Linked DNA regions of Elephas maximus indicus. The protein of the gene in region 1 purifies or fractionates together with the protein of each later gene. This does not show direct contact. Links are inferred from orthologs where the notes say so. Each region holds a gene or a part of one and is shown in the gene's direction. Other genes may lie near its edges.

The links.
Region 2: the proteins of S100A4 (region 1) and PPFIBP1 purify together in Homo sapiens (co-immunoprecipitation; 3 studies listed by BioGRID and IntAct, with this or other methods). This does not show direct contact. The link is inferred for Elephas maximus indicus from reciprocal best matches to the Homo sapiens genes S100A4 and PPFIBP1.

What each region holds. Positions count from the first base shown.
Region 1 is NC_064821.1:191,394,287-191,409,269, reverse strand, and holds S100A4 (protein S100-A4), read left to right. Parts: upstream 1-7,449; 5' UTR 7,450-7,538; intron 7,539-8,410; 5' UTR 8,411-8,425; coding exon 8,426-8,566; intron 8,567-9,502; coding exon 9,503-9,667; 3' UTR 9,668-9,801; downstream 9,802-14,983. Other genes in the region: S100A3 (protein S100-A3), read left to right, coding at 5,008-5,148, 5,641-5,805; S100A5 (protein S100-A5), read left to right, coding at 13,188-13,325. UniProt on the Homo sapiens protein: Calcium-binding protein that plays a role in various cellular processes including motility, angiogenesis, cell differentiation, apoptosis, and autophagy.
Region 2 is NC_064822.1:86,400,361-86,415,208, forward strand, and holds the start of PPFIBP1 (liprin-beta-1), read left to right. Parts: upstream 1-7,113; 5' UTR 7,114-7,148; coding exon 7,149-7,212; intron 7,213-9,765; coding exon 9,766-9,971; intron 9,972-14,848. UniProt on the Homo sapiens protein: May regulate the disassembly of focal adhesions. Did not bind receptor-like tyrosine phosphatases type 2A.

The sequences.
Region 1 (14,983 bases):
ACTTGAAGTGAGGGTCAGGGTAAGTGTTCCTCCCACAACAGTCCCCAAGCCCAAAGTGCCTGCACGCATCCTTTCTGTTCCCCCACCCACTCCTCAGCTACCTACCTTCCCAGAGGGAGCTCCTGCCCCCTCTTCCGTCTCAGCCTCTCCAGCTCTCCCAGTCAGCAAACAAAAGTGCTGCTTCCTAGGGCTGTGCGGCTGAGCTGAGAAGGCTAGTGGGTAAGGAGCCAGGCTGCTGGGTTCTTCCCTGACCACTCATATATGGCCTCACCATTGTTTTCTTTCCCATATCTCTGGTTTATTTTTCTCTATAATGTTTGGATCACTATTACACATTTATTTTTTATTGTCTGTTTTCCCCACTGGATTGTCATCTCCCTCGGACCAGGGACTTCACCTATTTTGTTTATATCTATACCCTCAGGTGCTGTCAAATCAATTCTGACTCCTGGCAACCCCATGTGTGTCACAGTAGAACTGTTCTCCATAGCCTTTTCAATGACTGATTTTTCAAAAGTAGATTGCTAGGCTTTTCTTCCAAGGCACCTGTGGGTGGACTCGAACCTCTAACCTTTCAATTAGCAACTGAGCTTGTTACCCACCGTACCACCAGAGCTCCAATGCCTAGTATACCAAAAAACCCATTGCCATTGAGTCAATTCTGACACATAGCCACCCAATAGGACAGAGTAGAACTGCCCCATAGGGTTTCCAAGGAGCGCCTGGTGGATTCGAACCGCTGACCTTTTGGTTTGCAGCCATAGCTCTTAACCACTGCTCCACCAGGGTTTGCAGTGCCTAGTATGGGTACCTCTAAATATTTATACGAGCAGTGAATTTATCTTAGGCCTACTACTTACTAGTTATGTGACCTTGGGCAAGTTACCAACTTCTCAGCATTTTTTGAGCCCTTTCTATGTGCTAGGCACTGTTTCTTCTATGAGCTTTGTATGTAAACACTCATTTAAGTTCCACAGCAACTCTTTGAAGTAGTTGCCATTGTTATCCTCCATCACTGACAAAGGAGGAAAATGAGACCCTGTCTTGGTCATCTACTGCTGCTATAACAGAAATACCACAAATGGATGGCTTTAACAAACAGAAGTTTATTTTCTCACAGTCTAGGAGGCTAGAAGTCCAATTTGGGGTGCCAGGGGAAGGCCTTCTCCTTCTGTTGCTTCTGGGGGAAGGTCCTTGTCATCAATCTTCCCCAGTCGAGGAGCTTCTCAGCACAGGGACCCTGGGTCCAAAGGACGTGCTATTCTCCTGGCTCTGGTTTCTTGGTGGTATGAGGTCCCCCGTCCCTTTGCTAGCTTCTCTTTCGTATCTCAAAAGAGATTGACCTAAGACAAAACCTAATCTTGTAGATTGAGTCCTGCCCCAGTAACATAACTGCCGCTAATCCCACCTCATTAACATCATAGAGATAGGATTTACAACACATAGGAAAATCACGTCAGATGACAAAATGGTGGACAATCATACAATGCTGGGAATCACGGATTAGCCAACTTGAGACACATTTTTTGGGGGACACAATTCAATCCATTACAGACCCAAAGAGTGATGTGGCCTGCTTAAGGGAGGTGGCTGGGGGCAGAGCTAGAATATCATAAAAAAAAAAAACATAGGCAGGAATAAGTGCTTGACCTAGATCTGAATTAATTGCTGGTCCAGGGTTTTCCTCACGTCTGCTGAGTGACCATCCTTTGGTCTCTGCTCACCCCCCTTCGCATAATTCCTTGCCTATAAAACAAGGCTAATCACAGCTCTCCCTCCCATTTTCCCTCCCCCATTGCTCTCTCCCATCACGCACGTGGGGCTGAGTCTTCAAGGAGATAATGGTATCCGCAAGGTTTGGGTGCTTGAGGTGAGGTCAAAATCTCATTAAAGACTTCTTCAGAGTCATGGGGGCAACCTCTTTTCCCTCTCCCATGCTCTTCTGGGTCTTGGGTTCTTTTCCTGTGAAGCGGGCAGGGGGCCTCTCAGGCTTAGAGGATGGGGGAGAGACTAGGGAAGCATTATGAAGGGATTTCCATTTCTGGAAAAAACTAACAGCGAAAAACCACTAAAATTGCTGGATAGAATTTCAAAGTCTTTTTTGAAGCAGCAAAGTGCTGACAGGGGAGTAAGAAATGAGTAGGCCACACTCTGAAGTGGAAGCCAAGTCCAGGAGGTGACCAGAGCACCAAGGCCCTGAGGGCACCAGCCAAACCAAGGCACCTGAACTTGGCTTTGATGGTTGCCAGAGAGGAATGACCTCGGGTTCACCTGAGGAGGGGAGACAAATGGGAGGCCCTCCATAATGCTGGGACCCCAGAGAGCTACACGTTTAAGCTAAAAGTCAGAGGAAACCCCACCTGACCCCTGTGGGACTGCAAGAAAAGTTGCCTTGGTGCTAAACAGAGCAGAAGAGGAAAGGAAACAGCCCCTGAGTAACTCTAGACACACAGCAGCCCAGATTCATCTGTATCACTTAGTGGGGCAAGGGAGGGCAAGAAACTTAAGCCCAAGCTTCTGCAATTGCACTAGGAGGAACACATCTTTATGACTTCATCCTACACCTCAAAGAAATCCCACAAAGATTTTCCCCAGGGAACTGAGCAGTTCATATTCGAAAGAAAATGATGAAGCACCGAAAAAGTGATCTAGGGATTAGGCAGGGAGGATATCTCAGGTCTCGGCCTTCTCATCTATAAGTGAAAGGGCTCAACCAGGTTCTCCTGAAAGTCCTTGCTCTGGCAAGGGGATTCTCTGGAGAGCCAGCTCAGTGAGGGAAAATTGTTTCCCCACTTTGTATTCTTGGGGTATCTCCTCAGAGTGAAGAGCTAGGAGGATGGATGTACGGACCAGCCCAACCTATGTCCTCCAAACCACGTTGGAAGGAAAAGAAAAGGAGGCTGCACCCAGCTCCTGACTCTGGGGGAGGGCACGGGGCACTGTCTGAGACCCCAGACTGGGCCTTTGATGTGTTCATGAACAGGTGGGCAGCTAGGGCTGTAATAGAGGCTGCTGAGGAAGGAGGCGGGGAGCCCCTAGGGCATCCCCAAAGCTGACCTAGTTGAGTACCCCATAATTACTCCCTTCCTCTCTTGGGAAGCTACAAATAGGGATGCCCTGTCTCTAGGCTCCTACAACTGAAACGTCAACCCAGTGGTGAGTGCCAGCTGCTTGGGTCCTGCCTTGGGTAGGGTGTTGGGGAAACTCAGGGGCCCCCAATGGCCTGCCTCTCTCCTGGATCAAGGTCTGGGCATGGGGGCAGAAGGATGACCATGGCAGGGATTGACAGGGTGAGAGAAGTCAGATATGGTAGGCTGGGGGGTTCCCTTTGGCAGTGAGCGGCTGTCAGGAAGTTGGGCTAGGAGGTGTGCAGAGCTGGGATCTGGCTCTGGGTAGGGGCATGGGCTAGAAATGTGGGCGTTACCTTCAGTGAGCTCCCTCTGCCTCCTCCTTGCTTCTCTGCTTCATTCCTGGGGACGGGTTGAGACAGGCCAGGGCTGCACAGGAAAGAGAGGATTCCCAGCCAGTCTCCAGGCACCCAGCTTCTGGAATGGCAACAGTGGTGGTGCCAGGCAGGCTGGCGGGGGCCCAGAAGGGCATGCTGAACACCTCTGAGTTTCCCTTAGCCCCTAGGATCATGGCCCCTTCCTATCCTGGGCTCCTGGACACCCTGTTCTAATCCTTGGCTGTCAGAGTTAGAGCCCGGGCAGTTTTTGGTACCACCCAAGCCTTCCCGCCACCCACCAGCCACGTGGGCCATTTGCTCCACAGGGCCCACAAAGGGTGAATCATTAAGGAGAGAGCCTTGGTGGTTGCTGCTCTTCGTTGCAGGACTCCCGTCCCCTGGGGGAGCCAGGGGTGAGTCATTAGGCTCACATGGGAACAACTCTTGCCTTCCTGCTGCCTTAGGTTCCCCGGGCTAGAAGCCTCCTCCCAGAGAGTACTGGGTGGGGACACCGGAATTGGAGGAGGTGGGCAATTCCAGGAATGGCTTCCCCTCTAACAGGGCCTTCTATCTCAAGATCCCTGGGTCAGGGGATGGTCTCGGGTGGGAGGGTCAGGGGTTGGTAAATGCTGGAGCTGGCCATCTGGGTCAAGTCCCTGACCAGGCCGTGGGGTGGGATTAATTCCATTTTATAGGTAAGGCACCTGAGATCCAGATAGGATAAATGCACCATTGTCACAGTTAGGAGAGAGGTAGAGAGGATTCTAGAAGTTTTCCCTTTGGATGCAGCCTCCTTCAGTTTGAGGGAAGAGGGATCACTAGAGGAGTGGTGGTGAGGCGGCAGGGGTCCTCCTAGACTTGACTGTCCTTCTACTGCCCAGCGTCTGTAAGGGCCTGAGGATAAGGCAGCGCTGGCTGAGGGTCTCCTTGGGCGAGTTCGTAGGGAAGGAACTCTGGGTCCTGAGGGAGGAGACTTCTAGGGCCATGGGCTGCACCTACGGAGTGGGGCTGGGCCCTTCCTTGGTGTTGGGGACTGAGTAAAGGTGGGAGAGAACCAGAGAGTCCTGAGGGACTCTCTTGGTGGGGAGGGAAGGTGGAAGGGTCAGACAGACACTCTGTCTTTGAGGGGTTTTCAGTGAAATGAGGGAAATGAGACTCCCACCCAGGAAAATAACACCCAGGGGGCAGTAGTGAGATGAATTAGGAGGGGCTGGTGTGGTCAGGGAGCTCTGGTGGCACAGTGGCTAAAGCACTCAGCTGCTAACCAAAAGGTCAGAAGTTCGAATCCAGCAGGTGCTCCTTGCAAACCCTTTATGGGGCAGTTCTACTCTGTCTTATAGGATGAGTTGGAATTGACTCAATGGCAATGGGTTTGGTTTTTTTTTTTTTTGATTGGTGTGGTCAGAGAGGGCTGCTCAGAGAGGGGGTAGCTTGTGGCCCAAAGCCTAGGGGAGAGTAAGATGGTCTGGGAGCAGTGTCTGGGGAATGCAGAGGGCAAGGTGAGCAGGGAGGCTGGCCTGGACCTCCGCCGTGAGTCACACCCTTGTTCTGTGACAGTGAGGATGACCAGACCCTTGGAGCAGGCGGTGGCTACCATCGTGTGTACCTTCGGGGAGTATGCAGGGCGCTGTGGGGATAAGCATAAGCTCTGCCAGGCGGAGCTCAAGGAGCTGCTGCAGAACGAGATGCCCACCTGGACCCCGGTGAGCAGCCCGGGGCCCATCCTCCTTCCCCATCCAGTGAGGAGGTACTGCTTGGATTCTGTAAAGAGAGACCTGGGGACAAGTATGAGCATAGGACAGCAGGAAGGGTGGAGGCTAGACCGCATGGAGGTGACAGCAAGGGGACTGACACAGCAGGAACCTCAGTTTCCTAGTCTGTGAAATGGAAGAACAATCATCACACCTGCAGCCTGCAGGGTTGTTGCAAGTATTGCCCGAGAGCACTGTGAAAAATGTCTGGCTCATAGCAGGCACTCAGTGGCAAAAAGTAGGTGTTCAATAAATGATGTGAGAAGGAGGTTTTGGGAGGGGGATTGAAATGGGCTCATCATCAGAACAGGTAGGCTGAGGCTGGCCCTCCCAAGGGACGTGGATTGGGATGGGGTGGGAGCACCTAGGAAGGGAGGGAGGACAGGAGTGTATGAAGCTGCTTGGCCCTCCTCATCTTGCCCCCTACACCCCTCCCTTGCACAGATGGAGTTTCGAGAGTGTGACTACAATAAATTCATGCGTGTTCTGGACACCGACAAGGACTGTGAGGTGGACTTCGCTGAGTACGTGCGTTCACTAGCCTGCCTCTGTCTCTACTGCCATGAGTACTTCAAGGACTGCCCCTCGGATCCTCCCTGCTCCCAGTAGCCTCTGCTCCAGAGGAATGGGCCAGCCTGGAGTGCAGCGGTCTGGCCCACCTCTGCCCCTGAGGTGGTCCTGGGCAGGTCACCATACCCCTCCCTGCCCTCTGGCCTGTACCTCTTTCAGTCTAGAGTCCCCCAGATTCACCCCTGATACGTTGACCCATTTTACAAGGAAGCTCAGAGATCTGAGGGACCTTGCCAAGGATGCACACCTGGTGGTGGGTAGAGCAGCGACTGGCTCCATCCTGCCCTCTGAGGGCTGCACCTTCTACCTGGGGCCTGTGGGCCAGGGTGGGAAGAGGTGGGAGTCTGTTTTGAGGAAGTTAAGGCTCAGCAGAGTATGGGCACACAGGAGACCATGGATGGGAAAGGGCCTATTAACTCCTAATAAAGAACTGGTGTCAGCTGGACTTGGTTTGGTTCTTCTGCTGAGATTGTTGCTCCTTTCTGGTCTTTTCCAATGAGGACAGGAGGCTGAGGGGAGGAGCCCTGAGTTCCCAGAGGACCCTGAAGGTAGTTTCAGACCCCATAGAAATGAAAGGGGCTGAAGTTTCCAGTAGGTGGGGCAGGGTCACACACAGGACTCCAGTCCTGGGAGGACCTGAGAAAGCCTCTCTTTCTCTGGGCTTTTTGAGGGAGAGGTCCCCTTGGGCTTTCATGGAGGGCAGGAGGGCAGCCTAAGCTTCCTTGGGGACCATGTTGCTGAACTCTGCCCAGTCAGGATATTCTGAGCAGGAGGGGAGGGGCTGTTGGGGGTGGGTGGGTGGGGTGTTTGTTCCCAATCTGGGCTGTGGTGGCCCAGAAGGCAGTAGTAATAGGATTAGGGTGTCTGAGGTGTCTGCTCCCAGCCTGAGCTGGAGGGGGAAGGGATACCTTGAGGAAAGCCTATCCCTGAGGCCAAAGCTACTTTATCCCTGAGCTTACACCCAACCCTGGGACCTTAACATTGACCCCTGACTCCCTCATTCTGAACCATTTCACCTCCAGTTCTCCACCCCAACCTGGATTTTTCATTTCTGACACCCACTGGAACTCTAAACTCCCCATCCTGACAGTCTACCCCTAAGCCCCAGCCCCTTTCAGTCTATCCCTGTGCGCTCATGCCTGGCTCCCCACTCCTCACTGTCACTGCCTCACCCAGGACCTTTCTTTGCAAACATTCCTCAGGCATTCCCACAGCCTCCTTTGGGTTAGTCCATTCCCCTTCCTGACCTCTGGTTCTCCGACCCCCCGCCTTATTCAACCTGGTAGAGCTCCATTTGGGACATTCCTTGCAGCACTAGGCCTAGGGCTCCCCTCCCTTGGTTTCTGGGCAGCCATATATCCAGGGGAATTTCCCATCTGTCGCCCACCAACCCTAGCTTTCCTACTGCCTGGGGTGACTACTCCTTCCCTGTCTCTGCACATGCTAGGCCCCTCCTTCCGGCTTCCTAAGGGCTGAGCTCTATATGTTGGGTGGTGCCCACCCATGGAGGTCCTTGTCTGTGCCCTCTGTGCTCACCCACTGCCCATCTGTGCCTGCTGGGGGCTGGAAGGTTGTGTCCAGGCTGGGCTGGTTGAGGGGCCGTGGCACTTACCACATGGGCCCACGGCAGGAGGGCTGTCTCCACTCTCCCCCATCCCCTGCCATGGGCAGGGCCTGGCCAGGGTATAAATAGGTCAGACCGCTGAGCTTCCCCCATTTTTCTCTCTCCCCAGCCCTTTCTCTCTGCTCAGCGTTTCCTGTCGCTTGGTCTGGTGAGTTGTGGTCGCCTGACTGGCATGAAAGAGGTGTCAGACCAAGGCTCTGGGGCAGGAGAAGGGGAAGTGGGTGGGGGCCAGATATGGTAAATGGATCCAGATGTAAGATCCTGATGTGGAGGCTCTGGGGTGGGATGTGTGTGTTTGTAAGACAGAAAAACAAACACACAGAAAGGTCAGAGGGGGGCTGAGATGCTGGGAGTTGCATACACTGTCGCTGCAGTGTGTTTGGTGTGTGCGTGACCATGTGAAGGCACACTAGCTTGTGTTTGCTGGGTTGCATGAGACTGTGTGTGCATGGTCAGGTGTGGTAAGGCAAATGGAGGCTGAAAGCAACTGTGGGTTTCTGTCTGGTGGTGTCATGTGAGCCCTGCAAGGAGCCATGCAGCCCTGCGCCTCCCCTTCTTCCTCCTAATCCCTGTCTGTGCCACTTTGTCCTGCCCTGCCTCACACCAGGCACAAGGCGGCTGGTTTTTTCCTGCTATGGGCCCCTGGGCAGGCTTCCAGGGGCCGCGCCCAGCACTGGGAGCAAAAAGAATGGGCTGGGGCTGGAGGCTGTGGGCTGGCTTTGGGGGTGAATGAACTGACTGAGCTGTGGAAAAAGCGTTGTTGTTGAGCCACCGCCCTGGGGAGACCCAGCCTGAATCTCCAGAGCCCGTGCAGTGGGCCCTGCACATGTTTGCTACTCCAAGCATGTATTTCCTGCTCCACATGCCCACCTCCACCCCTAGAAGCTGAGCCCACCTTCCTGGGCTCCTCCCACCATGGAAGTAGTATCTCACCAAGGGATCCTAGAGGGATGGGGAGTGGGGTGGGGCACTGTGGACACATAGCTGGGGGTGGGGTAGATAAGGGTGCCTCTCCCCCAGATCCTGACAGCTGCCATGGCACACCCTCTGGAGAATGCCCTGGATGTGATGGTGTCCACTTTCCACAAGTACTCAGGCAAGGAGGGTGACAAGTTCAAGCTCAACAAGTCAGAGCTAAAGGAGCTGTTGACCCGGGAGCTTCCCAGCTTCTTAGGGGTGAGTAGGTGCCACCTCGGAGGATGCCCCCATGGGGAGTTCCCACGCAGGAAGGACAAGGCCCTGGAAGGCATGGGTCTTTTGTAGACCATTAGCTATGGAACGGGGCAGTGGGAGATGGGGCAGAGAGCTCGCATTGGATGCCTGGCGCAGAAGCACAGTGAACACCCCCACTCACTGACTAGTCCCAGACAGGAAGCAGACTGAGGCTGAACAGGTAGATGATGGCCTAGATACTATGCGATGTTTTGCACTGACTATATAACCTAACTGGAAGGAAAACTGAAGCTTAAAGAGGCTAAAATAACTTCCCAAGGCATCTAGAGCACAAAACTGAGATTTGAACAGACTGCCTGAGTCTTGCGACTACTCCAGGAATGGACGATCTTTGAATTTCAATTTGTCCTGTGAATGTGAAGATACAGTTATGGAGACACCTCATACCCCTACAGACCTTCCCCCAAATGATAACAGCTTCCATTTGTATCAAACTTTATACAGTTTATGTATTGCTTTCATGACCATTACCTAATTGAATTTTTTTAAATTGTAGTGAAAAATACACACAACAAAACAAAGCCAATTCAACAATTTCCACATGTATAATTCAATGACATTGATTCATTTCCAAATTATTCTACCACCATTAACATAAACCCCTCAGGAAAACTAATTGGATTCTTAACCCTGGGAGAAGATGTTGTGGCCCCATTTTTCAAGTGACAACATCCAGGTACTCAGGAAACTCTTCCTCATCCCAGGGACATCCTCTTCCTGTTGTAGCTTAGCCCTGAGGGTTGGAGTTTCAAAGGCCGAGACCCCTAAGAGAGTGGCTATGTAAGCCTTTGGAGCTCTGAGTTTGAGGTGGAAACCTGGTTCTAGTCTTGGCTCTTCCACTGGGCTTCAGTTTTTACCTGTAGCCTCTTCTTCCTCCAGAAAAGAACGGATGAAGCTGCGTTTCAGAAGCTAATGAGCAACTTGGACAGCAACAAGGACAATGAGGTGGACTTCCAGGAGTACTCTGTCTTCCTGTCCTGCATTGCCATGATGTGTAACGAGTTCTTTGAAGGCTGCCCTGATAAGCAGCCCAGGAAGAAATGAATGTTCCTCATATGTGGTCGGGGGCTCTGCTGGCTGGGGTCTCCCCTGCAGGCAGTGGGGGTGGTCACTTACCCCGGCTCCTCTAAGCATGTGCATGATGCGGAGCAAATTCAATAAAGATTCTTGAAAACCAAGAGCCTGCTGGTCTGGGGGCTAAGGGGGATACCAGGGGAGGTAAGGGTTTGTGGGATGGTGGTGGGCAGTGCTGGTAGTTGAAGTGCAGTTTTATGGGGAGCTGACTAGTGAAGATGGGGGAGGGGCGTGGAGTGACTGAGGGTGTGCGTGTGTGGGAGGCGACAGCTGACTGTGGATGGGGCTGAAGGCAGGGAAAGGGGCCACCAGAAGCTTGGAATGCCCAACTGTGAGATCTTAGCCAGCCCATTCTCGCCTCCCATCCTGTTCCAGCCTTGCCTCTGGCAGGGACTCTAACTGAGGCTGGGATGGGCTTGAAGGTCACATCTGCTCCTAGATGGGGGTCTGGAAAAAGAGTTTGGGTGCCCTGAGGGTAAGGGGGGGGAGGGAGGAAATAAAGTTGAGTCATGGGGAGGGAGTAGCTGAGGCCGGGGTGTGTGTGGGGGAGGTTTTCCTGAGCCAGAGGGCTGGCTTTCAGGCCTGACATTTACAGTCCACTGGCTTCAAACCACAGGGATGGATTAATCCTTTGCTGCCCATGTTTGGATCAGGGAGGCGATACAGAGAGAGATTGGGCTGTTTGCAGCAGCATGAGAATATAGCCATTCTCCAACCCGCTGTCCCTGCTCCAAAGTCCCATGGGATGAGATCTGTTACCAATTAGGGATCATGGCTTTCAGAGAAGGACAAGGGGCCTTGGGAAGGATGAGTGGAGATTGGTGGCTAGGGTGGGAGTGAGGGAGATGGTGGGGAAGTGACCATATTTTTTGAGACAAAACTTCGGACATGATCTGATAAATGAAATTGAGATTTTTTTTTCCCAGAAAATGTCAGGCATGATGTTGCTTTGATTAAAAAAAAAAGATTAGGGTAGGTTAAACCCAGTGGGTTCCAGTGTGCAGTGGACAGGATTGATGTTGGACCTCAAGGCCATGCCTGGATGGTATCGCGTACCTTGATGGAAGACATGAGTCGAGGTCAGGTTCAGAGGCAGCGTTTGGTCCCCTTGACCTCTCAAGCTTTTCCTTCTTCCACTCATTACACTGTGTTTTTCTCTTAAGTTTCAGAAACATGCGGTAGGTGACTCAGAGGTTCCCTCAGAGTTTGGCCACGGAAACTTGGGAAGAATTTTGATCCAGGAAAAAGTTTGCTTTCTCCCCCTTCTCTTTCCCTCCTTACTCCTCCTCCCCCAGCCTGTGCCGTCCCCAGGGACTCCCGCTTGACTCACTGCTTCGGAAACTCCTGTTGCCTAGCAACCAGTCCCTGCTGCCTTTCTAGCCCTGCCAGCTAGGGGTGAGGGTAGAGTGGGCAGTGGGGAAGTCCCAGGCAGGCTAAGGTGATACTGTGGCAACCATTGGTTGCTAAGCTTCTAACTTGGTAATGGTCTCATACTCGGACTGGTTGGTGTCTTATCCTCTTTGGAATGTGGGCAACTCTCTCTTCTCCCTACCTGATCCATGACTGCACCCTGAACCTGGACTCTGCCCCATCACTAGGTCCTAACCCTTCCCTGGATCCCCTCGCCAATTCCTGCTTCTTGTCCTCCAAGGGTCTCCAACAATTCTTTCCCATGAACATCAGTGAGGTTTAGAAGAAATCGTTTCTTTAAAAACACCTTAAATACTTTAGGCTCTGTACTAGCCAGTGACCTTGCCCATGCCCTTGACAGGAAACATCTTCCCTCACAGATCCCCACCTCCAGGTGCATTTGCTCCGCTCTTGGGGTGACTGGGAGGGTGGGTAGTAGTGTCCCAATGTGGAGAGCGGTCTAGGGAATGGGGAGACACCCTGAGTTTGACCCACACCACCTGGATTTTCTTTCCAGGCAGCCTGATTTCCCCCCTTACTCCTGGTTGTCCCATCAGATTGTGAGTTCTGATTTTTGGATTGGAAAATGTTTCTGGCTCCAAAGACTTGTGTGTCGTGATGAACTCAGAGTGCCCCCATTCCGTCTGTCTGTAAACGAGCAAGATGAGATTGGTGGAGGGGGTTTCTCCTCACCTCCATCCCAGGAGGCTCTGACCTGGGCCTTTTCATGTCCCTGACCCCTTCTCATTGGTCCTTTCTTGTCCTTGGTTTCCTGGGGACTGGAGCAAGGGAATAAAGGCAGAGAGCAGTGGGAGGGAACCTGTTTCTGCCGCTGCGATTCTCTGGGCTTGCTCCTTCCTTTGGTGAGTCCTTCCTTCTCGTGTCCATCATCCGGTGGGGCGAGCTGGGAGATGAGATGAGAGGGTGACAAGCTGTGTGACCCTCTGCAAAGGGAGGTCTGGCCTGATAAGTGGGTGTGTGCTCAGGGAGGAATGGGTTAGAGTATGTGGAACTGTGGTTACCAGAACTTTCCTGAGAAATTCTCTGGAGGTGAGGGTGGAGATCAGAACCAGCCAGGATACCCCTGCAGACGCCCAGAGTCCCTTGCCTCTGACTGTGGTCCTGGTTGAGTCTCCCTGAGGTGGGGAGAAGCTGAGGTTTCTGGGCAGTGGGAGGTAAAAAATTACACGTGGGCTTTGGGCTAGGGGTGAGATCCAGCACCTTCTCCTTTCTTGCTCAGTATCCTCCACTTAGCTGCAGCCCCTAAGTTTCTTGGGTGTTGCCTCCTTCCTCCCTAAGGGGGAAGTGGTTTTCAAGTCTGAGCCATAGGAGCTCCAGCTGCCTCTTCCCTTGGATGGGGGTGGCTGTGCTGGTGGAATTGAGGGCTCCATTTAAGCCCAACCTCTGGATCCAAGTCTCAGAATGATCCTGGCAAAGCATAAGTCCATCCCCCAGGCCTCTTGGCCAGCTCATGTGTGTGCAATTCTCTGGACTAGAGATTGGAAACCAGCTGGGCAAGCCCAAGTGCCTCTCTCCTGCTTCCTGTTGAGACCTTATCTCTCTTTCCAGGTCCAGCCCCCTCCAACCCCTGGATTCTTTTTGCCCTGTTCCCCACTTCTGTAATGGGATACTCCCCAGTATCAGATCATTCAGGCACTGGGGCAAAGGAGAGTGACTGGGGCGGGGACTTAAGCAGTGCCCAAGCTCAATGGGGCAGAGAGAAAATCCTGATGTTTTATGTGCTCCACAATCTGTCACCAGTTCTTTTCAGGAGGTCAATGTGTCATCCCTCTGCCCTAGTCCCTTTTTTCAAACATCTCCAAAGCAGGAGAGTCTACAGTCTCCTTTGGTGGCTGCTGGTCTCATCACTCTGGCTGCTCCAAGGTTTGCCTTGGTCTCTTCATAGCCTGTCCTGATGCATCTGAGTCCAGTTGCTGGTGGACCTCCATCTCACCATGGGGTCTAGACTCTGGTTGTTTGAAAGAGGGTCTTGTAGGTGGGCTGTTGATGGGGGGAAACACAAGATCTGGCTTCCTGAAGAATGTGATCTGTCCTTCACCCTCCAGAGTTGCAAACTGTGATGGAGACTCCTCTTGAGAAGGCCCTGGCCACCATGGTTACCACTTTCCACAAATATTCAGGGAGAGAGGGCAGCAAACTGACCCTGAGTAGGAGGGAACTAAAGGAGCTGATTAAGAAGGAGCTGTGTCTTGGGGAGGTAAGTGACTATCCCCTCATCCCCACTCCAAAGTCTGGGTGCTTCCTGTAGGCAGCAGGAGGGGGAGGAGACCAAAAAAAAAAAGAGAAAGAGTTAACACCAATCCTACTGCCAGAGGCCTCTCCCTGTGAGGCAGGAGGCCCAGCCTCCTCGTCTCCATAGAGATCCAATATGAAGGGACATCCACTGCTGTCCTCAGGGTTCTTGAGCCTAAGCCAGGGCAGGATGGCTGAAGGCTGTGGAGAGAGACAGAGGAAGAGAGTGGACATCTTGGGTCAATACAGCTTTAGGTCTCTGTGCTGGGGGCAGGTCAGGGTTTCACTGGTGAGGAGGGTCTGTGTCTGGAGGATGGAGCTACGCCTGTGTGAGGGGTTCGAGAAAGTGAGCAAGGAATCTGGGGTGGTGGGGCCAGGCTGCTTAGTGGTGGCAGAACCTGTGAAAATAATCGTGGGGGATGAAGGAATCCAGGGCATCCAGGTTGAGCGGAGCGCATCCTAAGGGCAGGGACCCTGCCTGAGTCTCCTCCATGTGCCTGGCATATCGAGGGCTCTCAAATAGTGTTGACAGGGGAACCAAAATGATAGTCCTGCTAATTAGTGAACACAGAGCAGGAAAGCAGATTCTAACCAGATGAGGTGCTGACAGAGGGGAGGCCCATGAGGTAGATACTATATTATTTTTACAGTTAAGAAGATCGATGCTCAGATACTGTCTTAGTTAGCTAGTGCTGCTGTAACACAAATATTACAAGTGGGTGGCTTTAAAAAACAGAAATTTATTTTCTCACAGTTCTAGAAGCTAAAAGTCCAAATCAGGGTCTCAGTCGTGTCAGTTCCTTTCTTGTCAGTAGCCCTGGGTGTTCCTGGGTCCTTTGGTGATCCGTGCATGGCATCTGTCTTCTCCCATGTACATGTTTCTGTGTCTAATCTGCTCTTTTTATAACTCAGAAGTGATTACATTCAGAACCTCCTACTTTGGTATGATCAAATTAATATAACAAAGAAAACCCTATTTCTAAACAGGATCACATCAACAGCATAGGGGCTAGGACTCTAAAACATATTTTGGGGGACACAGTTCAATCCATAACAGATACATTATGTAATGGGTTCAAGGACACTTGGCTAATGAGAGGCTGAGCCAAAATTCCAAATTCCAGGCCGGGTCTATGCACCACCCTCCCTTTTCTCTTTAAAATTCACCCCACATCCTGGACCTTGATGGGCCTCCTCAGAGAGAAGCTCCCCAGAGCAGGCTTCTATGGGCAGGGGACTTAAGCAGGCATGGGTGTCACCAGACCTGCTCTCTGGCCTTCCTGCCAGGTTCTCTGCATCCTGGAGTTAATGAGGGCAGAGGGAGGGGCCAGGGGCCCAGCAGGGGTTAATTACAGGGGGACAAAGACCTGGGGGAGGGCCTGGCTATAATAGGAGCCCAGGCTCGGGGCAAGGATCACGTCAGTGTGCTGTTTCCATCTCTGTATGTGCCGACATTCTGTCTCCTGTGGAAATCCTTGAGCTGAGGGCAGGATCTGCTTGTCTGTATTTTCTTCCTGTTCTACCCTGGGGCCCTGTCTCCCAGTGGATGGGAGGGCAGGGGACCAGGCAGAGGTACTGCCTCCATACCAGCTCTCCAGCAAGCTCAGAGGGATGGGTGGCTTT
Region 2 (14,848 bases), on another chromosome or scaffold:
GTTCCCGACCTGGGCCAACAGAAGGTTTGGGGACCATGACCGCTGGGATTCTTCTAGACTCAGTCAGACCATTAAGTATGGTCTTTTTATGAGAATTTGGGGTCTGCATCCCACTGTTCTCCTGCTCCCTCAGGGGTTCTGTGTTGTGCTCCCTGTCAGGGCAGTCATCGGTTGTAGCCAGGCACCATCTAGTTCTTTTGGTCTCAGGATGATGTAAGTCTCTAGTTCATGTGGCCCTTTCTGTCTCTTGGGCTCATAATTATCTTGTGACCTTGGTGTTCTTCATTCTCCTTTGCACCAGGTGGGTTGAGACCAATTGATGCATCTTAGATGGCCGCTTGTTAGCATTTAAGACCCCAGAGCCACTCTTCAAAGTGGGATGCAGAATGTTTTCTTAATAGAATTTATTTTGCCAATTGACTTAGATGTCCCCTGAAGCCATAGTCTCCAAACCCCCGCCCTTGCTCCGCTGACCGTCGAAGCATTCAGTTTATCCCGGACAGTTGAGCTGACCTTCCCTGTATTGAGTATTGTCCTTCCCTTCACCTAAAGAAGTTCTTATCTACTATCTAATCAGTAAATAACCCTCTCCCACCCTCCCTCCCCCGTCTTGTAACTACAAAAGAACGTGTTCTTCTCAGTTTATACTATTTCCCATTATCTTATAATAGTGGTCTTATGCAACATTTGTCCTTTTGCATCTGACTAATTTCACTCAGCATAATGCCTTCCAGGTTCCTCCGTGTTATGAAATGTTTCACAGGTTCATCACTGTTCTTTATCGATGTGTAGTATTCCATTATGTGAATATACCATAATTTATTTATCCATTCATCCGTTGATGGACACCTTGGTTGCTTCCAGCTTTTTGCTGTTGTAAACGGTGCTGCAATAAACATGGTTGTGCATATATCTGTTCGTGTGAAGGCTCTTATTTCTCTAGGATATATTCCGAGGAGTAGGATTTCTGGATTTTTTTTTTTTTTAATGGTAGTTTTATTTCTAATTTTTTAAGGAAACACCAGATAGATTTCCAAAGTGGTTGTACCGTTTTACATTCCCACCAGCAGTGTATAAGAGTTCCAGTCTCTCTGCAGCCTCTCCAACATTTATTATTTTGTGTTTTTTGGATTAATGCCAGCCTTGTTGGAGTGAGATGGAATCTCATCGTAGTTTTAATTTGCATTTCCCTGATTCATCCATTTATTTCATTTAAAAAATATTTCATTTCTAATTTTTAACAATTATTTTTTCTACTAATTTTTCTTTATTTGAGGTAAAATTTACATACAGTGAAATGCACAGATCTTAAATGTACAATTTGATGAATTTTGACAAATGTATAAACTTGTATAACCAAAACCCCAATCAAGATATTGAACAGAAAGTCCCCCCAGTTTTCTTTCAACTCATTCACCACTTGCCACAGGGAAATATTGTTTTATTTTCTATCACCATAGGTTTGCCTGTTCTTAAATTTCATATAAAAAGAGTCACATAGTAATTACAATATGTACCTAGTGTGTACATGTTGCTGAAAAAAATTAGCATAGCACACTTATGAAAATACCCTCCAGGGGAAGGGCATGGTTGGCAAACATAGAAGGCATGCCTTATTTGTGTGAAAATCAGTAGTCTTTTGTGTCTGACTTCTTTTGTGCAACATAATGTTGTATGTATCAGTAGCTCAGTCTTTTTTTATTGTGGAGTAGTATTCCATTGTATTCATATATCACAATTTGTTTGATTTGGATTTATTATAACTCAAGTATGGGAGAAAGGCCAGGGGAATCTTGCTCTCAGATATATTTCCTCTCAGTTGCTATCTGGTCAAATCTGACTCATGGCAATCCCATCTTTTTAAAGCATGAGGTTTTTTGAAGCTGTCTTTCCTTTTTTGGAAACTTTGAACCAATCATGAAAATTAGACTGCCTATAAAATAACTCAAGCCAGAGTCAAGGTCAGAATTTTAATAAATAGGGAGGTTCTTTTCATGGTGTTAGTACTTTATCACTTCAGGTTGCCTTTTTTATTCCTGTGTGAAGTTCTTTAAAACCCTTTTGAAATTTAGTGAGACTTATTTTGTGGCCTTGTATACATGGCCTGTTCTTGTTACTACAACATGTGTATTTGTAAAGAATATATGTTTTGCATGTTGGTGTTTTGTTCTATAGATTCAAGTAGGCCAAGGTGGTTGATTATGTTATTCAAATCTCTGATATTATTCCTCTTCTTGTTTTTTCCTAGTTTGTCTACCAACTCAAAAGATGATTGAAAAAGCAGAAATAAATGACAGATGGGACAAACAGAAAAAAATAACAGGACAATAGACTTAACCCCAATCATATTAATAATTATATTAAATATAAATGGATGAAATTTGTCTAATTATTCCTTAATTCTGTCAGCTTTTGCCTCATGTATTTTGAAGTGTGCAGAAACATTTGTGATTGCTATGCCTTCGTGATGAATTGACTCTTTTAACATTATCAAATGTCCTGCTTTATTTCCAGTGATGCTTGATTTGAAGTCTAGTTTTTGTTATGTTAATATAACCACTCCTGCTTTCTTATGCTTTCTCTGTGCATGGCTTCTCATTTTCCATTCTTTTACATTTATATTTCTTCATACTTAAAGAACACCTCTTATAAACAATATATAAAAATATATATACTCAGGGTTTTTTGTACATGTGTGCTGGTATGACAGTCTCTGGCTTTTATTAAAATGTTCCATGTATATTTAATGTAATTATTTATATAGTTGAGTTTAAGTCTACTGTCTTGCCGTTTGTTTTCTGTTTCTCTCATACGTCTGTATTACCTTCATTTCTGCCTTCTTTTGGATTGAGTATTAAGGTTGCCTTTCCTGTTCCTCCTCCCACCACTGCTGCAGCCCAGACTGCTCTGTGGCTGCTACCGTGGGAGGAGCTATGGTCTCAGGCCTGGCCATAATGCACAGGCCGCCCTGGCCGAGTGGGGCAGTGGCCTCGCGGGGCATCCCCTTTGGTGCTGTGGCAGCATCTGCATGGTCCCTGCCAGAGGTGAGCACAGTGGGACAGGCATGTGTGGATGGGCATTGGGACCCCTCCCTCCTGCCGCCCCAGGGCCGGGGTTGACACAGGATCCAGAGAGCTAGTGAGGGACATCTAGGATCTACAGTACTTACTAAAGTACCTCTGCTATGTCCTGTTCTCTGATCAGAATCTCTGAGCTCTGTTATAACCTTATGGGACCTTGGATGTTTGTGTGGTTGGACATTGCCCGGATGGACGTTATGCAGCACATACCTGTATATCTTTGTTTTATAGTTTCAGTGGATTGCATTATATATTCTTAACTTATTATCCATCTATCATGAACTAGTATTAAACATCTTCATGTATAATGTAAGCATTCAACAATACTATACTTCCACTTAACCCCCTTCTATCCTTTGCATTATTTTTGCCATATATTTTACTACTCCATATACTAACAGCCTTACAGTGTATTTTCCTCTTTAAATTGTCAATTGTATTTTAAAGTAAAAAAGAAAAGGAAAATGATTTTAAAAAAATTTTATAAACATATTTATATTTTCTGTGTTTACTATGTACTTTTCATTCCTTTATGTAGATTTAAGCTTCCACGTGGTATCATTTCCACCCAATTTGAATAATTTATATTTGTTTTTTTTTAAATAGTTTTCTTTTCGCTTCTAAGATTCTCAAACTGTTCACTCGTTATCGTCATCTTTACCTTTTAAGGCCTTGAACATGTTTATCATAAGCCCATTGCCATCAAATCAATTCTGACTCATAGCAACCTTACAGGATAGAGTAGAACTTCCCCATAGAGTTTCCAAGGAGCGCCTGGCGGATTTGAACTACTGACCCTTTGGTTAGCAGCCGTAGCACTTAACCACAACTCCACCAGGGTTTCCATAGGTGGTCTAGCTTTGTGGTACTCCAAGTTGCACTCAGCCGATCCTAGTCTACTACATAATAAGTATAGCGATTGAGAGTTTTTATAAACTTTTATAGCAATTTAATATTGTCACAATATTTTTATATATTAAAAGAAGTATTGGTTTTTAATGAATTAGGGAAAAAAAAAAAAAAACTGGTTCTTCATCAGTTTGAAAAGTGCAATTTAGGTTGTCCCGTGCCTCTATATCACAGCATTTGAAAGTCTCGTTGAAAGAACAGAGAAGAAATAGATAACTACCTATCATACTTGTAAAAAATGCTTGTACTCTATGCAAAATACAGCTGCTAACAAAGACACATATTTTTCTGATTTTGTGAGGTGGTGAGAGTGTTTTTCTAACACGGGTATTACTCTGTTTTATTGGTATCCGCCATGTTTATAGCTAAGCCTGGCATGTGTCCATTTGTTTTTAATATGTGTATATCAGAATATCTAGAGCTCTTTGAAGTGCTACTTTTAAAATGAAAGGGAGTAAAAGCCACTTAATTATATGAAATTCAGGTAGCTTGCATTCTTCGGCTTGATCCTTTGTGTTCTCCATTATCACATTCTGAGTTTTCCAGCACGAAGGCAGTTGTTGCTTTTGTACCCTCTCCCTTTGGACTGTGCACTAGCTGAACGTGCAAGTAAGGTTTTGAAAACTATCTGGGTTAAACCCCCACCCTCATTTTCCCCCACCCAGTGGTTTCTGAGTGACTTTATACAACTGCCTTGAGCATTTTTATACTGTAGTTTTCCCACATAAAATGGTGGTGATAATTTACACCTTTTGAAGTGAGTAAATTTCTAGAAAACTCTTAGATGAAACTACTGTAAAATCAAAGTAAGATTTCACAGTGATTATATGGCATTTTACTAGATTGAATGCATAGTAGAGAACTGAGTGAGATGCTGTTTACTCGAACTGTATGTATATTTATGAACATAAAGTGGTAGGTGAGATCGGGCTGCTTAGAAACAGGACAAAGGTTTCTGTTAAACAGCATACTTTTTCTTTACCAGGTCATTGCTATACCACGGTGTCTGCAAAGAGGAGTCATCTTATTCAGGCCTGTTGGGAGAATATACATGGATGCTTAGTCTGCTACTTGAAATGTATTCATTAATGTTGAAAGTCACATAATCTTAACTTTTCCTTGTGAATGACCAAATTTTTTGCAAGAGTGATTTCAATATATTTTTTAATGCTGTTTTTAATAATTTATTTTTTTATTGTTTTTTTAATTAACTTTTATTGAGCTTCAAGTGAACATTTACAAATCAAGTCAGACTGTCACATATAAGTTTATATACACCTTACTCCGTTCTCCCACTTGCTCTCCGCCTAATGAGTCAGCCCTTCCAGTCTCTCCTTTCGTGACAATTTTGCCAGCTTCCAACTCTCTCTATCCTCCCATCCCCCTCCCCCCCCGACAGGAGATGCCAACACAGTCTCAAGTGTCCACCTGATATCATTAGCTCACTCTTCATCAGCATCTCTCTCCTACCCATTGTCCAGTCCCTTTCATGACTGTTGAGTTGTCTTCGGGAATGGTTCCTGTCCTGGGCCAACAGAAGGTTTAGGGACCATGACTGCCGGGATTCCTCTAGTCTCAGTCAGACCATTAAGTATGGTCTTTTTGTGAGAATTGCGGGTCTGCATCCCACTGATCTCCTGCTCCCTCAGGAGTTCTCTGTTGTGCTCCCTGCCAGGGCAGTCATCGGTTGTAGCCAGGCACCATCTAGTTCTTTTGGTCTCAGGATGATGTAAGTCTCTAGTTCATGTGGCCCTTTCTGTCTCTTGGGCTCTTAGTTATTGTGTGACCTTGGTGTTCTTCATTCTCCTTTGATCCAGGTGGGTTGAGACCAATTGATGCATCTTAGATGGCCGCTTGTTAGCATTTAAGACCTCAATATATTTTTAAACAGGTAGAAAGATGAATAGATTCTGACACAATTTCAACATGAAATAGGCCCCGTGATCCTTCATTTATACTGTCAAAGTCTGTGAAAACACGGAGATTTATTGTTTCTGAACACTTGCCCAGATGAGATCAGATTAACAGAAGTTCGATATTGTAGTGGAAATTAGACAGATCTAGGTTAAAATGAGCTTTGTTATATTTACTTGCTGTGTGTTTATGCAAAACTCAACAAATGTCTTTGGTCTTTATCTATAAAATGGAGATAAATATATCCATTTTATAGAGTTGTCACTATTAAAGATTATGGATAAATTATATGAATGTATAGAGACCATTGTAGGCACTCAATACATGGTAGGTATTGTTACATTGGAGCCCTGGTGGTGAAGTGGTTAAGAGTTTGGCTGCTAACCAAAAGGCTGGCAGTTCGAACTCACCACTGCTTCTTGGAAACCCAATGGGGCAGTTCTGTTCTGCTCTGTCCTGTAGGGTCACTGTGAGTCGGAATTGACTTGATGGCAATGGGTTTATTGTTACATTCTAAAATACCAGTATGTTTGTATATGTGTGTGTTTAGTATATATGTGAGTGAAGCTGTTTTCTTAGACAGATCTTATGGTAAACCCTAACACAAGGGAAAAAACCAAAACCAAATCCATCGCTGTCGAGTCGATTCTAACTCATAGTGACCCTGTAGGACAGAGTAGAACTGCCCCATAGGGTTTACGAGGAGCAGCTGGTAGGTTCTAACTGCCGACCTTTTGGTTAGCACCCGAGGTCTTAACCATTGCACCACTGGTGCTCCAATAAAAGGGAAGGGGTAGCAAAGTTAAGATAGCAGAGATTGAGTGGGGCTGGTGCAAGGAGAAGGAAGTCTTGTCTACTCAGCAGTCATGGTCCTCAGCAAGATTCCATAGCCATTCCCAAAGCACTTCAGAGAGTCCTAGAGCTCTACAGAATATAGCGTGAAAAGCATTCTATTGAGTTTTAAATACCTTGAGTACAAGGACTGAAACTTTAACTGATACAGATGTAGCCTGTGGTCTTGCAGTACAGTAGATGCTTGACCACGGCTTGTTGAATGATTCAGTTAACTCAGCTTAACTACTTTAGAAGTCCTGTCTTCAGATATGACTGCTAAGTGGAGTTATAATTTGAAGTTGAATCAGCAAACCTGCTAGCAATAGCAAGCATGTGTTATTTAAAGGATGTAATGATAACATCATTATTTTTTCAGATCTAGGTTGGAATTTGCCATTGAAATATAAGAAAATGATGAGTGATGCAAGTGACATGTTGGCTGCAGCGTTGGAACAGATGGACGGTATTATAGCAGGTAATCCATGTCTTCCAGAAGCTGGAATCATGGCATGTACTCAGCTCTCTTGGCTTTTTCATTACAACTCTCTTATTATCTTCCTATCTTCTTTCTTGTTTCTGTGTTTTGACTCTCTCCAGTGCCTTTAGGTTCCCTATGGTTTCATCTTTTCTGCCCTTTTCCATTCTATACCAGAATTATCCTCAAGCATTAGTTTAAAATCCAAAATCCAATTAAAATCCAATTCCACCCTAGCTTCTGATCAATGATAAAGAATCTGCATCTTGATGATTCTGGTACAGTGGTCTGTGGGCTGCGCCTGGAAGGACACTTCTTTACCTAGTATCTATGCATGTTCTGATCTGCTTCCTTGAACTCAACATTCACTTTTCCTTCAGTGACTCTCTCATCCATATCTTTGACTTTCCCAATTCTTTGCTAAGCTTCAAAATTCTTTGCTATCTCTAACTGCCAACCAGATATCTCTCCTGAAATGTCCTGTAGGTACATCACTGTCATCATTTAACACATTAAGGTCGTTATCTTTCCTTGGAAGCCTTTCTGTTCATAACCCTTCATCCACATAGTTTCTTAAACAAGAAATTTAAGTCGTTCCAGATACTTTTGTCCCTCATGCTCCACATTTAATTAATCGAATTCTAACATTTCTACCTCCTCCTAAAATTCTGCCTCTTCCTTTTATCCTTTCTAGAATCTGTCCTGTCTGTGCTACCATTGTCTTGGCTTGTCCAAGACACCCACCCACTCGATGTCCGGATATTCTGGCTTTTCCACTCTAGTCCATTCTTTCCTAGACCACCAGACATCACTTTCTAAAACACAGACTTGGTTGGATTACTCCCTGGTTAAGAATCGTCAACAGTTTTCTATTGTGACAGCAGAGCAAAGATCACTACATCCTTGTTTGCTCATCATGGCAGAGGGGGTGACAAGTAGGTGACCCCCTTGCAGTGGTGGCTTCTCCTGAGGAAAGTGGCATGTCATAGTTTGACCTTATCTGTTATACTCTGTCCTAGAGACCAGACTTCAGTTGAATCTCCTTTGCATATTAGACTGCACATTGAATACTGTATTCAGTTTTTGGAATATTGTTTTCAAAGGGTTATTGGCAAGCTAAAAGTTGTCTAGAGGTGGCAAACATGATGGTGAAGAATAAAACAGTCACATTAGTAAAGATCATTTGAAGGAACTAGTTAAATGTAATCTAGAAAACTGTTCTTACTTGGGGCATGATATATGTTTTCAAACATTGAAGGGCTATTTTGTGGAAGAGAGATTGAACTGACTCTTCTAGGATATCTGAAAATATAACTAGAATCAATTCTAGGCTTTTGCCAGAGAGTATAACCTTACATTCTTAGCAAAACTCTGGTTGAGATAAGTGATTTTTTGGAGCATTATTTGAAGGATTTACGATTTATATATTCTCCTAGATTTTTTTTTTTTTTTCCTAGATGCCTTGTTGTGGAGGGATATGGGCATATATATTTATAGTAATCTCGTCAGTAATGCTAATGCTTAAGAACCACTGGAATGGGACTTGTATGTTTTAGTAAACAAGTAGTTTGTATATTTGACACATCAGAATGGGCTATGGATTAGCAGTGTGAATTTAAGTAGTATGGTAGAATGGTTTCATTGGAAGTAATAGAAAGCTAACTATATAAATGTTTTAACTATAAAACTAACCGTATAACTATTGTTAAAAAAAAGCTGACATTAACAGTAGCCTTTTTGAGGTTTAGGCTGCAAACAAAATCATGGGGAAAAGTATTTATACAAACATGCTCACACACACATACACATGTAATTCATTGAACTTCTTCAGAGATTAAATTCTGGTAAATTAACTGGAAACTGGCCTTCTTTTCTTACCTTTGAAATTATGCTATGCAGTTTCCACTTCAATGTGTAACTTTTTTAAAAGAGTTTAAAGACTTCCTGGTCCCTAAAATTTGTGTTTTCTGGAATGCGTAGCTCCATACAAACTGACCTGCCTCCCTCCGTCAGAGGTTTTCAGGTAGAGGCCAGTGTACTTCTTGCCAAAACCCACCGTACCTTTTTTCTGCTTAACAGTTGGCCTTTCTGTTAGGGATTGGACTATTGATTACAGCTGATTCTCATTGTTCGTGTAGTTATGTTCTGTAAATTCCTACGAACGTTGAATTAGTGAATACCAAACCAGGGTTGTACACTGAGCTCCTCAAATTTTTTGCCGCTCTCTGAGTGGACGTATCTGTGAATGACCACGAAAGCACCATGGGTATTGATTTTGGGGTTACAAATAAATTTTAGTGAGTAGGCCAGTTGGCAAATATGAAATAATGAGGATGGACTGTATATGGTATATTTTTGTACCATATAACTATGGTGTGGAGGGGGATTTACATGATTGAATTATTATCTGACCCCCCCCCCCCCGTGTTTTTTTCCCGTTCTTTGTTTTGGTTTGATTGTTCCTTATTGTAATTAAACTTGTTTACTATCTTCAGCTCTGGCGTTTTATCTAATGTAAACCCCATCGCTTTCCTTGTGATATTTTTAACCTAGGTTCTAAGGCCCTGGAATATTCTAATGGGATTTTTGATTGCCAGTCTCCCACCTCCCCATTCATGGGAAGCTTGCGAGCACTGCACCTTGTGGAGGACCTGCGTGGATTGTTGGAGATGATGGAAACAGATGAGAAAGAAGGCTTGAGGTGCCAGATCCCAGATTCAACAGCAGAAACGCTGATGGAATGGCTTCAGAGCCAAATGGTAGGTGTCTCTGCATGTTAAAAGCCCCATGCTGTGAATCTTTTGTCACTTATTCTAAAATTTAGAGGCTAGAGTAGCTGATTAGAACAAGAGAAAAAAAATTATAGTACAACAGCTTTGTTTTAATTTTATCCCTTATGTGATCCCAGTTCCCTTTTCACTCTAAGGAAAATTTTTTTAAAGTGCTGTTAGGCCGCCTGATTCTGCCCATAAAAGTGGACTAGCTTTTAGATTGTGTCTGAGTGACCTACTGTGGCTAAAACAAATAGTGCCATAAGGGACAAAGTTTGCACATAATAGATACTTTCTTAGTAATATTGGGAAGTTTACTGTAAAGGGACTGAGAGCAACTCTTTTTTTTTTTTAAATTAACATCTTGCATTCCTGTGGTACATTTGTTACAGTTGATGAACTGATACATGATTATTAACTAAAGACCTTAGTTTACTTTAAGGTCCACTCTTTGTGTTGTAGAGTCCTATGGGTTTTGACAATCAGGCAGACTATTTTTTTTGGTGGCAATAATATACAACCAAACATACCTCCATTCACAATTTCTACATGAACAGTTCAATGACACTGGTTACATACTTAACATTGTGTCACCAGTCTCACTATCTATACCCATATTGGGAACCCTGGTGGTGCAGTGATTAAGTGCTCAGCTGCTAACCAAAAGGTGGGCAGTTAGAATCCCTCAGCTGCTCCTTGGAAACCCTGTGGGGTAGTTCTGTTCTGTCCTATAGGGTTGCTATGAATATGGAGCTCTGGTGGCACAGTGGTTAAGAGCCTGGCTGCTAACCAAAAAGTCGGGAGTTTGAATCCATCAGCTGCTCCTTGGAAACCCTATGGGGTAGTTCTATTCTGTCCTGTATTGTTACTCTGAGTCAAAATCAACTCAACAGCAGTGGGTTTTTTTTTTTTTTTAATACCTATATTGCCTCATCGCCACTAATTTAGCTGTCTGTCCATTAAAGTTCTCATCTGTATCTATATGAGTTCAAATTGACAGCAGTTAACCCAATAGCCATTCTAGATGGAAAAGCATAATGAATAGATAATAGAGGCTTGTAGGAGTATTTGATGTAAAGTGCCATCTAGTGGTTCTTGGCAATCATTTCAATTCCGGTGCGCAAGTTAAGTTGTGGAGGTGGATTTTAAATGGTGCCCTTACTCACAGAACAGCAAGGCCTGTTCTAGGCATCCTTCTCAAAAACAGATGGCATGACAGAGCTGCCCTTTCTCTAATCACATTGGTAAATGCCCTGGTTTTAATATGTATCGAACACATAAAATGTAAAGAAGGTTACAAAAGCATATTCAAAGGAGAAGATGGAAAAGATGGCAGTTTGTAAGTATTTAAAGGAATCTTCAGTAAGATGCATTACTATGCTTATGAATTAGTTGTGTTTATAGAAAAGCTAATGCAAATCGTATGAAAGAATTAGGACCTGTTTTTGGATCTCTGGTGGAAATGGAAACTATTTGCTTTGGGAGACTTAATAGTACCTCCTATAGCTAATTTTTTTTTATAGCTAATGCGTTTTTGTGTGATATAACACAAATCCTGGTGTTCATACCAGTCTTCTCCTGAATGTTCTTTTGTTCCCATCCAACTTACCTCTGTATTCTGAGTGCAAATAGTACAATCGATCTTTTAGTGGTGGTGTCCCTACATAAACTTGACAATTGTAGATATTTTTTATTACATGGTGCCTCATTATTCAATTCTGCAAGCTTCCCCTCTACAGATTTAAGGATCCAAGTTTGCTGACTTCTTGGGGATTGCTTCATGCTCTGAATCTAGGTGTTTAGATGCATTTTTTCCTAGCCTCTGTCTACTTCCTTCTCATCCCTTCTATACCCCATATTTTTCTGACCATTCATTATAAAGTGGGAAAGAGATTTTCTGTTGAAAAAGAATCTGTTTCTAACCCATATCCAGAGGCCACCAAGCTAGCCATAGCAGAAGGGTACCTATGGTTGCATTTTTGACTTGTATCTGAAATATATTTATTAACATGCACTCAGTCTGTTCTATTAAAGTATTTCTGGAAAAGATAAAAGGTGATGATGATGGTATCTGGCTATAAGTCAGATCATGTCACTTATTCCTTTTTGACATGTCTCCAGTGGCTTCTCCCCTTACTCAAGAGTAACAAAGCGTGTTATTTCTATCTTAGCACTTACCACGTTCTTACATGCTGTGTTTTTTGCCATGTTTATATTTATATCATTTATGTTCTGTCTCTGCAACTGGACTGTAAACATCATAAATCAGGAATTTTTGCCTTGTTTAAAAACAAAACAGCTCACTCTATTCCTGGTGCCGAGAATAATGCCCGGCATATAGTAGATGATACTCAGTAATTACGTTTGTGATGATGTTTCACAAATGATAAAATCAGATTCACATTTGAGTGAACCGAAGTTGTTTGTTGTGTTAAATTTATTCCTTGGGTGGATAATAACTTGTTGGCTTGTGGTTTCGTTTGCTCCCTGTTTTAATATTTAATGTCTTAAAATGAAGTATCTACAAAATGGCAAATACTTTACACAACTTTTTAAGATTCCGTTTTCATCCAAAAGCAATAACACAACAAGCAAACAAACAAAAAACCCAAGATGTTGATCCAGAGATAATTCTTTTTGGCACCCATTTTTTGTTGTTGTTGCTGTTAAACTTGTTCTATGTCTGTCTAGTCTTCCGTCTTGACTCTTGCCCGTTCAAATTAAGTGTGCTTTTTTTTTTTTTCAAACACACTGTGAGTGAAAGAAGATGGCAAAGGGCAAAAAGTAAACTGGGAAAGAGAAAGCAGGAATGATTGTTTGGTGAAAAATGAGTAGTTTGAGTACATCTGCTGTGGTAACTTTATTTTTAGCACCAAAAGAGAACTTGAACCAGTTTCAAGAATCCAACATGTAGAAAGTCTTATGCTTATAACTTAATGATTTGCTGATAATGGTAGATTTCTCCCATTTTAATATTTCTGAAGTTACAATGTGTTTTATGTTCTAAAAAGTGAGATGTATACAAATTTTAGCTGGGATCTTTTTAAAATTAATAGTGTGACAAAAATTGATGGCATCTTAGAAACGAAGAAAGAGTATCCTAGCAAATTCCCTCTATATGTATATGAGGAAATTGCTAAAATAACAAATAAGGAAGTTCTGGTGTAGAAAAGCTGTAGAATGATGAAGGCGGCAGGATTTTATCTTAGTGGTTACAAATGTAGGCTCTGGAGATAGCAGACCTGAATTTTAATATTGGCTGTGACTCTTAGAAGCCTGTATGATTTTGGGAATGTTTCTTAAGCTCTGTGCTTCAGTTTCCTCATCTATCAAATGGGGTTGATGGTATGTGCCACACAGAATTGTGAGGCTCCTACAAGCTAATATATGTTGAGTGTTTGTCAAAGAGCCTGGCAGATAGCTAATTATAAAGGGAATACTGTGGAAAACATTTAACTGGTTACCTTTCCAGTGGGGGAAGGAAGGGCCCAGTTACAAAGGGGAGTTTTGTTACAAATTCCACACACCTACTTCATTTCTTGTGAGAAAAGGGTACAGAAATGTGGAGAAGCTCCCAATTTTGGAAAAGGACTTGTTAATGATACCAATTACATAATTACGGTTTCATTCGTGTTTAATGATAGCAGACTCTAGAGTCTGTGTACTTAGGCCGATATTAATCTTCTCATCAGTGTAACTGGACATTTCTAGCCAAAACATTCTGATTATTATTTTGCCTAGGCCGAGGAGATCCACAGGTTTCCTGTAGGATGTAGGTTATTCCTTCACTACTAATTTTTGCTGTTTGTTTAATACTTTCATTTTATCAGACGTGGGCAGCCACGAATCAGAATCAACAGCAGTTTTTTTTTTTGAGGGGGCACTGGTGGGAAAGTAAGAGAAAAGAAAATAGTAATACTAGTAGCCTATTACATTGAAAGGCTATTCAGTCTATAAGAATGATTTTGTTTTAATAGCATAGCTATAACTGCAGACTTCTAAAAATGAACAAATTCATTTTAAAATCAGAAGTTTTCTCCTGTGGCAAAAAAAAAAAACAAAACTACTGAACAGGACATATTCATTTAGCTCATTCCAGGCAAGAGTCTCTGTTTTGATTTTGAAATGTTATCATGTGTTAAATGATGGAGAGTTATGTGCTTTATTAAGCTCTAAGTTTAAGAGGGAAAATGGAAAAATATGTCTAGTTGTTTGAGCCAAGTGGATAATTTTGTTTACTTTAGGTCTAATGTGATAAGTTACCCTAGAACATTCTTTTAATGCTTCCCCAATAGATAAAGCTAAGGATTATGACCTTGATCCACATCTGAGAGGGATCAGGTAATGAAATCCCAAAAGTGATTATTTAGCAGTTTTAATTAAGAGGCAATCCCAAAGTTAGCACAAATTACAAAAATACAATTTTCAACTAAGGGAGTAAAAACACTGATAGACATCATGACCTGTGACATATAAAAAAGAAAAAATAGAGTGTAAATGGGGAAAGTAAGCATTCTTGACTGACTTCTGATCTGATAAGTTACCGTAATACATTCGTATCTATTCCTACGTTAAAAAAAAAAGGTAATATTAATTTAAAATGTACATTTTAAAAGGTTTCCGTAAAAATGTGAAAGACTCATGATTTGAAGAGTTCAAACGTGGGTCACGTTTTCTCCAAAGCCTCTGGCTGTTCTCCCCAAGTTGCTGACTCCCTGCCACACCGTCCATTCCAATCCCTCCATCCTCCGGTCCCTGCTGTTCTCTGATTATCTTCTCTTTTCATGTGAGCCTTCAGGGAATGTTGTGTCAGGCCATGGCAAATAAGGTACACCCTCAGATTTCTCCCATATGTGGTCACAACT